Bombyx mori: one gene and its partner. The protein of the gene in region 2 purifies or fractionates together with the protein of the main gene of each other region. This does not show direct contact. Links are inferred from orthologs where the notes say so. Each region holds a gene or a part of one and is shown on either strand. Other genes may lie near its edges.

Evidence for each region.
Region 1: the proteins of peroxiredoxin (region 2) and BmDJ-1beta fractionate together in Homo sapiens (co-fractionation; 3 studies listed by BioGRID). This does not show direct contact. The link is inferred for Bombyx mori from reciprocal best matches to the Homo sapiens genes PRDX5 and PARK7.

The regions. Positions count from the first base shown.
Region 1 is NC_085129.1:16,172,028-16,176,544, reverse strand, and holds the start of BmDJ-1beta (DJ-1 beta), read right to left. Parts: upstream 2,823-4,517; 5' UTR 2,821-2,822; coding exon of another isoform or gene 2,817-2,820; coding exon 2,730-2,816; intron 1,691-2,729; coding exon 1,571-1,690; intron 1,132-1,570; coding exon 1,017-1,131; intron 646-1,016; coding exon 500-645; intron 1-499. UniProt on the Homo sapiens protein: Multifunctional protein with controversial molecular function which plays an important role in cell protection against oxidative stress and cell death acting as oxidative stress sensor and redox-sensitive chaperone and protease.
Region 2 is NC_085118.1:970,114-974,644, reverse strand, and holds the start of peroxiredoxin, read right to left. Parts: upstream 3,072-4,531; 5' UTR 2,969-3,071; intron 2,741-2,968; 5' UTR 2,673-2,740; coding exon 2,568-2,672; intron 2,499-2,567; coding exon 2,232-2,498; intron 1-2,231. Other genes in the region: transportin-3, read left to right, coding at 4,273-4,386, 4,497-4,531. UniProt on the Homo sapiens protein: Thiol-specific peroxidase that catalyzes the reduction of hydrogen peroxide and organic hydroperoxides to water and alcohols, respectively.

The DNA of each region.
Region 1 (4,517 bases), on a different chromosome or scaffold from region 2:
CAGGGGACCCTCATACTGATCAATCCACGTCATCTGTTGATGACGTTATTATCTATACTTTGCTGCCATCTAATAGGAAAGTCATTTATTTGCGATAGAACTCTGGTGATCTAGATTCTACAAACTGCGAAGTTTTTCTTTACCATGTACAAAATTGTCCAAATCACGAAAAAAATGGTAGTCCGTTGGAGCAAGGTCTGGCGAATACGGAGGATGACAAATGATTCCTAATTGCAGTTCCTGTAGAGTTAAAACGGTTTCTCGTGCTGTATGAGGTCTCGCGTTATCATGGAGCAATAATGGTGAAGATCGATTCATGAATCGAGTCAACTACTAAAAATCGATAATCGAATGTTGCACATTTTTCAAAAGAAGAACCCTATAGGTACCATTTGAAAAAAGTTTCACTCAAAAGTTCTATGTCAATTTGGAGTGCCTATTACAATAGAACGGCAATTTCATACTTTAACCCCTATAGCTTTATAATAAGATCACTGACCCGGCTGGTGACCACGTTGCCGTCCACCACCACCCTCTCCCCCTCCACGTACGTGTAGTCGCCGGCCGACAGCTTGTCCCTGGTGCTGGGGTATGACGTCACGCGCCGGCCCCTCGCCACGCCGTGGGCTGCAAACGCTATGGGAGCTGCCAATGTAACATTTAATTACATATTATGTCTGTGACATTATATATGTTGCGATATTTCCTTAGATAGTTTTTAATATTTTATTTACGTAGTTGCTTATTGAAAGAGAATTCTCTTATGTCTATAAACAAATGTTTCTATTGGCTTATTCAATCAACTGTACTTATTGTTGACTTTACCGGGACAAAATATTAATAAGTCAACATGTAGTTTAGAAATTTAAAATTAGTATATCCATTGGGAACGGGTGAGGAGTGGCGAGGAGGTGTCGGTTGTGATGATGATGATGATGATGACATCCATTGGTAACATTAGTATTCCAAACTCAATTGGAAGCAAACTTAAAAAAAATTTTTAGTAATTCATTTACCAGCACAAATGGCAGCAATGATTTTCCCATTATCCTCGTGGTCTTTAAGCAGAGCACCAACCTTCTCGGATTTGGAGAGACTGTCTGATCCTTCTAAGCCTCCTGGTAGAATCACCTGTTTGGAGAAAATTATTTATTTTTATAGGTGACACCTGCAGTGCTATATAACGCCTGTCAAAGTAACATTCATTGTAGTTGATGATGCCAAGTATTTTCTTCAACTTCAACTGAAACGGTGGTGCAAGACAGGGAATCTAATTTGTGGCTAGGTGATGGTCGTGACTCGTGCCCCGGTTATTATGGGTTGTCACTAGCTAATCTTATTTTGGATCATGCCTATGCTACGTCTAAATGTTTAATAAACCTAATAGAACAGAATCATTAGCCATTAAAATCACAACTGGGGTGCATAATTCTAGGTTCTAAGGTTCTCAGGTTCTAAATTATGTTAACATAGAAATTGGGTGTACTATTGTAATTTTTTTCTAGAAATGATGTAGTTTCTGCAGTTGCAAATGAACTTTGCTGTATAAGATAACGGTAAGGATACTCACAGCATCATACTGTTGTTTCTCAGCGAGGGCTTCAGTCAGTGACTTATCAGGTACTAGAGTCACTTGCCTTGAGCACAGCACAGGAGATGAACCTTCCAAGCCAGCTAGAGTAACTGTTACCTATGGGGAAATAAGGTCTTTTCAATAAGAAAAAAGCTTAATAATAAATTACTCATTGGTTAGAATACCACTATGATATTCCTTCTCATGGGTATAGAATGTAACCTTTGTTTTGTTTACTATGGAATCTGCAATGAGCATGAGCTGTGTGCAGGTGTGCTGTGAGACCTGGGAGTTCGTCCTCCAATAAAGGCAGCTTCTCTTTTGTAAATCATTTAGATACAATGTCCTTTTGTTTTAGCAATATAGTATCTTTTATTGTTCATAGCCAATTCATTTTCACTTCCTTTCCTGATACAATTTCTTTGAAATTCTATGGATTTCGTCCTTTAAGATAATGATAAAAAGGTAAAAATATTCTTTATGAGTATGGATGCTCTCCGAGTATTATAATATTTTAAAGATTCATGATTTCAATCCTACCCTTAGTGTTCAAACCAATACCATAGTATAACTCTTATACACATAACATCATTATGATAACATAATATGAAAAAACTATTTCAATGATGTTGCAGTTGGGAGTGGACAACAATTACGCAACTGATGCACATTCGAGTAGAACAGCAATTGATCAGTATATAGTAAGTAGTAACTTTTTATTGTTTAATTAAGATTTACAATTAAGCAGTGATCTAGTATTCAACTATTTGATAATTTATGGTCGATTTTCATTATGCAATTTTAGAATACACTAAATTTTCTATAGTAATAGGAGACTAGGGCTATAAGTTTTATATTATATTGCTAATACTATCAATCAGTGATCAGCTGAGGTGTTGGTCTATTTGTCATTTAGATTTTAGACTTTGTCATTGACAGCTGTGGTAGCATCATGATTACCCGGCGACCATTGTAACTGAATAGTTGATAAAAGGGTGTTAGTTTTTATTGACGAGCGAGAGTCAGCTATCTGGAATCACATTATCAGATCGTCAAGACCACATGACGGGCGAAATATGTCGATTAGCAAAAGTCTAATTACAATCCAACTAAGGAAATTCAGTCAACGGATTTAATGAATTAATTGACTACAAACCCCTCCTCGTCTCAGCATATCAACAGTTATAACTGTCTCCATCTCCTCTGCACCCTGCGCCAAAATCACTAACGCAGACTTGCTCATTGTTCTAAAATGAAAATAAACTAATATAAAACAGAAAAGCATGTAGTGTGCAAACAACAAATTACATAGTTTTTATTTCTGTATTATGTAATCAGTAGGTATTACGATAAAAGTATAATTAAAGTTTTCTTAAAGGTAATTAAATGCCGGTTCAATTTGTTGTATCCTCTATTTTGGTAGGTATTTTCACTTGATTCACGGCTAGATTATAATGTGAATGTAGTTAACGCCACTTATGCAATTAAATTCCGCTAAAACAGTTCGGTACCTTGATTTAAAAGCTCTATAATTTGCAAGAGTTTTTAAAAATAAATTAGAACGAGTAGACAATGACAACAGCAACATGAGAACCATAGATAATACACTTGATATTTATTAAATAAACATATTTGTACATAACTACTAAATTAAATATTAATTATGAACGAGTTGACAATTTCTGATTAAATTTAAGTACGGTACCTACTAGTATACATAGATAATAGACTGTGTATAAGAGAGTAAATTACCTACTTTGCCTTTGAAATTGTGTAGGTATTGTCAATTAATTGTCGTTACTATTATCATCTAAGGCCTAAGGTTATTTGTGTATGGTGTAAACAAATTATCTATGCTCGAAACATTGTAAAAAATTACCTATATCGTCAAGTGTATAACAGTCTACACTATGAAGGGTTCCGTAACGAAATGAACTTAGCTTGATAAAACACCCACAAATATTTTAGCATCCATCAATTAGCATCCATCAACATATTGTGGTCTCTTAGACCTACATATTGTCAAATCATTTTCCATTGCAAATTTTATTTAGGTTCATAAATTGTTTTTATGATTTATTTATGTCCTTAATAGGAGCACTAGAATTTGGAGGTACCTACACTTTTTTAACCTTACAAGCGCACAAAACAGCGGTAGCCGTCACAGAATATAAATTTGACACGATGTCTGAAACCGAAAAACGACATGATGCATCAACAACGTTGCGAGTCTTAGAAAAAACTATCACGACAACCTAAACAATATATTATTATATCTATATTATATTATATATACCTGTAGGGACACAGTTTGTTATGTAAACAAAATTGTTCGTAGTCATAACATGCGGCTGCACTCGCAAGCTCCGTTGTTTTTTACTTTTTAAGTTACCGTCGTCTATGTACATTAGCATTCCCAGGGGCAGAGCTAAAACGCTGCCTACCGCTAAGTACTGTATAAAAGCCTCGTTTTATGGATATGTGCTTTCGGGAAGCACCATAGGTAAGTGGCAAAAAATATCTATGGAAATGCACTGTGGATGAACGCATTGATTCTAGGTGGTGTTATAAAATAGAGAACAAAACTACCTGCTCACTAATTTTCACACATCGCAACTGTTCAGATACCGTGTTTTTTGTTAACTTCAAAACACAAAATTTAAACTATTTCAAACAAAAACTATACATACATAATCACTAATTATGTACCCTTTCCTGGCTGAGCCTTTGCTCGCTCACCTGTCCTGGTGAAACTGGAAGGGCCTCCGGACCACCAGTAATCCTTCAATCATAAAAAAGAAAACTAAGTACATGATATTATGAGTTATAGCCATAGACAATACACTTAATATTTAATATGTTAGCCCTTGAATATATTTGTCTATGCGCAGCTTCCTTTCTTTGGGTTGTAACGTCAAATGATTAAAAAAAACTTGTTTTATTT
Region 2 (4,531 bases):
TAAATAGATATATGTTTAAAACCTTTGACTAGGACATCCATCATGAAGGAATAGCAATGTGGAAAAAGCCAAACCAGACACATTCGGTACATACTTCGCGTAATTACCTTCTCTTGACATTGCCGGTCCCAAGCCCGGATGAGAAAAGAGGAGGGTTGAGTAGAACTGGACATTCCTACCGTAAAACGTCAACGCCGAACACTGGGCGGCGGGAAATAACCCAGCCCCCGGATCCAACTAGAGACCCGGAGCGGGACCAGTTGCCGTGAAGGACTAAATCCCTTCGAAATACTGATGGGGAAGGACGTGGGAACCACAATTACATCCCAAGAGAGTCATAGACATAAAGAGCTAAGCAGTAGCTAACTACCGCCTCGATGTCAATAGTTATTGTAGAGCCGTTATTACAATGTACCTAATTATACTTTTTCGATAAGATGTGGCTACTCAAGGTTTTTTTTTTGTTTTTTGCCAGGGGTAGAGCCAAGCCGCTGCCTACCGTAGAAGATTAGCTTGTTAAGAAAATCAGCTTGTCGGCTCATCTATAACTAAAAAATGTCTTGTCTGCCGAAAAACTATCATACGCTCCAGATTGAATGGTGAATATAGACTCCGACCTCATTTTAACTAAGACTGGCTTCACTGCCAACTCAATAACTATTTATCTACATAGTTAAACTTTTACGTGCCACCTGCCGTGGGATCGATATAGCAGTTGCACTAGTTCACACACCTACTTTTTATGTTATACTATTTGTAATACCGCAATCGCGATTACTCTGTTGCGGGCAAAAATTCAACACAAAAAAAAATGTGATGATGACACACACTGCTATTGTTTTGTCACATATACACACTGGTCATGGCACGGTCGCCGCTGCCCTGTAGACGACCTCATAACTTCTTATAACGTCTGATAACAGCTCCCACGTTCATAATAAGCTTTTGGACATTTTTTCATTAAATATGGCTCTTGTAATTTTAAAATCACTAATTACAAATAATACATATTATTAATATGTATGTTGTATACTCAGTTTTTATTATATATTCAGATGAGTGAGTAAACTGCCTTGTGTTTTGTGTTTACTGCACTACAAAGATCTACTCAACTGTATTGTATAATAGCAGTCCTACCTAACTATCTTTTTTTTTATTGCTTAGATGGGTGGACGAGCTCACAGCCCACCTGGTGTTAAGTGTTTACTGGAGCCCATAGACATCCACAACGTAAATGCGCCACCCACCTTGAGATATAAGTTCTAAGGTCTCAAGTATAGTTAGTTATATCTACCTATAGAGGGACAGGAATGGTACCTACCCATGTCCGCTTACACCATACCACCACCATTTATGCATTTCAGTAATCCGCACATTCAAAAAACATTGATTCGATGTAATATCAATAGACAAAATACTCTCTTAAAATTTATTGGTAACAAGGTCTTATACTGTTGTGACTGTGAGAAGGTCACAACGGAACGATTACTAACAGAACCTTTTTTATTTATTGTCGTAAATAAGTTAATTCAAGGTATTGTTCTTTATTTACGTTAATCATTTAAATAGTAGGTCATGTCATTAATATTTGATCATTGTATATTTTATCAGAAACAAGTAGGTAGGTTTCAGGTAAATTAGAAGCACAATATTGTAATCATTACCCACGACTTAAAAACTGTTTGGTATTTATTATATTATAGAACTATGAATATAAAATAGGTAATAATTAATTATAAAATAAATTTATAAACCATAAAATAAGTTTTACTTAATGCAAAGATCCCCCCGAAAATCAAAGAAAATACTAAATTAAATTCCACTCAGTAATATGTTAGATATATTTGATTGCGATACTGTGTAGGTAGCAGAAAAACTATTTTCAGGTTGTTTTCACTTTTGATAAAAATAAATTAACAAAATCAAAATAAAAAATTCAGATAAGTAAATGAAAATAATTTGAAGCAATTATTATTCGAGTAAAAACATTTTACTATTAAGCAAGCTTGCATTCAATTTAGAGGGTATAACAAATATTACAATGTAACCGTGAATCCAATGTCAGTCCTCAAGACACGTGGCAGTATTAAAATGGTGGTTACTGGATCTATAGATATATGCTTAAATACATTTCGCATTATAAATATTTTGGTACCTCAATGTTAATATATCTCATTGAAAAATTTAAACAAGAGAATGACGTAAATAATATATTTGTATGAAGGAATTACCTTTCCTTTAGTGTTGTGCTGAGCTCCCCAAGCCGCCATCACATACGGGTCATTAACAGACACGCACACTATTTCAGCAACTCCATCCGATTTCAGTTTATCTGCGTTCTGTACGTATCCCGGCAAGTGTGTTTTAGAACATCCCGGGGTGAAGGCGCCCGGCACCGCAAATAATACAACCTTCTTTCCCGCCGTCAACTCACAAATATTCACCTTATTAGCGGGAGAATCTTCGAATAAATCAGCAGCAGGCAGCTGATCCCCGACCTTGAAGTAAAACACTTGAAAAAAACCTGTTATGTAATTCCAAAAAGTCTTTTTTCTTAAATAATTTACCTTAATTGGTGCCATGCTTAATTGTGAAATGTGAAGTGCTCGCGCTGACGCTCGATTGGTGAATGCGGTAATGCCACGGATAATCGAAGACCCTGTGAGAAACATTAGAAGGTAGAAGTTTTTACTATGGTAGTTACCTTACTTATTATTTATTTTGTTATATCGATCGTAAGTTAACAGATGATAAAAGTTCATGACCTTCACAACTTTGATAACTTTTATGTCAAGCTGTCAAATGTCATTCGGCCGTCATGACGACGCTTTGCATTATGAAACAGAACAAGGGTACATACACTATAAAAATTCAGTGGTTAATATTAATAAATACCTAGATGCTCTAATGTGCTTTCGTTCCTGGCTTAAGCCAAAAGGTAAGGTCTAAAGTTTACTAAGCCCGAAAGAATAGAGTAATGAATATTTTTTTTATAAAGGGTCTCAGTAATGGAGCGCGCATAATTATATAGTACGTATTTCTATTATTTTCTCAATTCGTTTAAAAAAAGCCTTTTACATTATATTTTGTTTTGTCATCTTCCCTGTATTTTTCGAATATCTCCAAATAGGTTGAAGTCTTTCTACGTAAATGTGGAATTGACCTTTTAGTCGCCACAAACTCTTAAAAAACCAACCATTTTTGCTGCCAAATAGTTAGAAAATTAAAACTTTTAACAATGACTCCACGGTGCTGTACCAATACATTTCATCGATACTCTTTGGGCTTAAATGAATCATATATCCACTGTTATTATACCAGCTACTGATTTAAATCTACATCATAGATTATCAGAAATTAATTAATATTTCACAGTAATTATTAATAATAATCACTATAAGTAAATAATAATAACTTCTTTCGGATATATATTATAACTCAATTAAGAAAAAAATTAATAATATTAATAGTGGTTTAATAGCATAACAAAATAACTAAATTGTATGTTTCAAGAACAAACTTGATATGATTCTTTATACTTAACCTCGGTAGACAGCGGCTTGGCTCTGCCCCTGGCATTGCTGAAGTCCATGGGTGACGGTAACCACTCACCATCAGGTGGGCCGTATGCTCGTCTGTCTACAAGGGCAATAAAAAAAACGTTTTTTAATTATTTAAATTTTCTAGGATTTGGTCATTATCAAATCATTTCATTAATCAAGCGGTATTTTACGCGGTAAGACAAACTACTCGTTTGATTTCTACATCTTTCTCTACGTGTCTTTCTGTCGTTATTTATCATATAATGATTGTAAAAAATAAGTTTTTAATCAATCTTCTTAAAATAGGGATACGGTCTACTGCTCAAGTTTTGTCCCCTGAATATGTTTGAACCTGTAAAGTATTGTCAGATGATTACATCCCAAGAATTAAATTACACTAACGTTAAGATCTATTTTTTGTAGGAAGAAAATCTCAATGCTACTTGTTTGGGTTGAGCAGACTTAATAGGTAGGTAAATTAAAATATTACAACTTCGTTTTCCAGTCAACTTGAATCAAGTCAATGCGGTTTCGAGCTCAGCCCTGCTGACTGACTCGAATCTGTCATCTGTCATTTGCAATTTGTGGTTCGTTGTCGTTTCGTTTTGAGTTTCTTTTTGTAATCAAATTTGATTCGAAACAATACTTTCTTAAGTAGATATGAAAAGTAACATTTTATGCACCAGAAAAGTGTGGGGTTGAGATTAGTATAAGAATTTAAATCTCCACGATGGATGCTCCTTCAATGGACACTGTTTACCAGGCGATCAGCGCTCTGTACGATGGCCCAAATGGAAATGAAATTGAGAAGGCTTCGCTATGGCTCGCCGATGTACAGAAATCCGTAAGTATTAAATTGTGTACTTATTTTTATTCAACTTGGGATTAGTGATTTGATTGAGTTCATTATATTAATATAACATGAAAATGTACATAACCTAAAATTCCTCACAGATCCACTCATGGAAGATTGCCGACGAGTTGTTGCA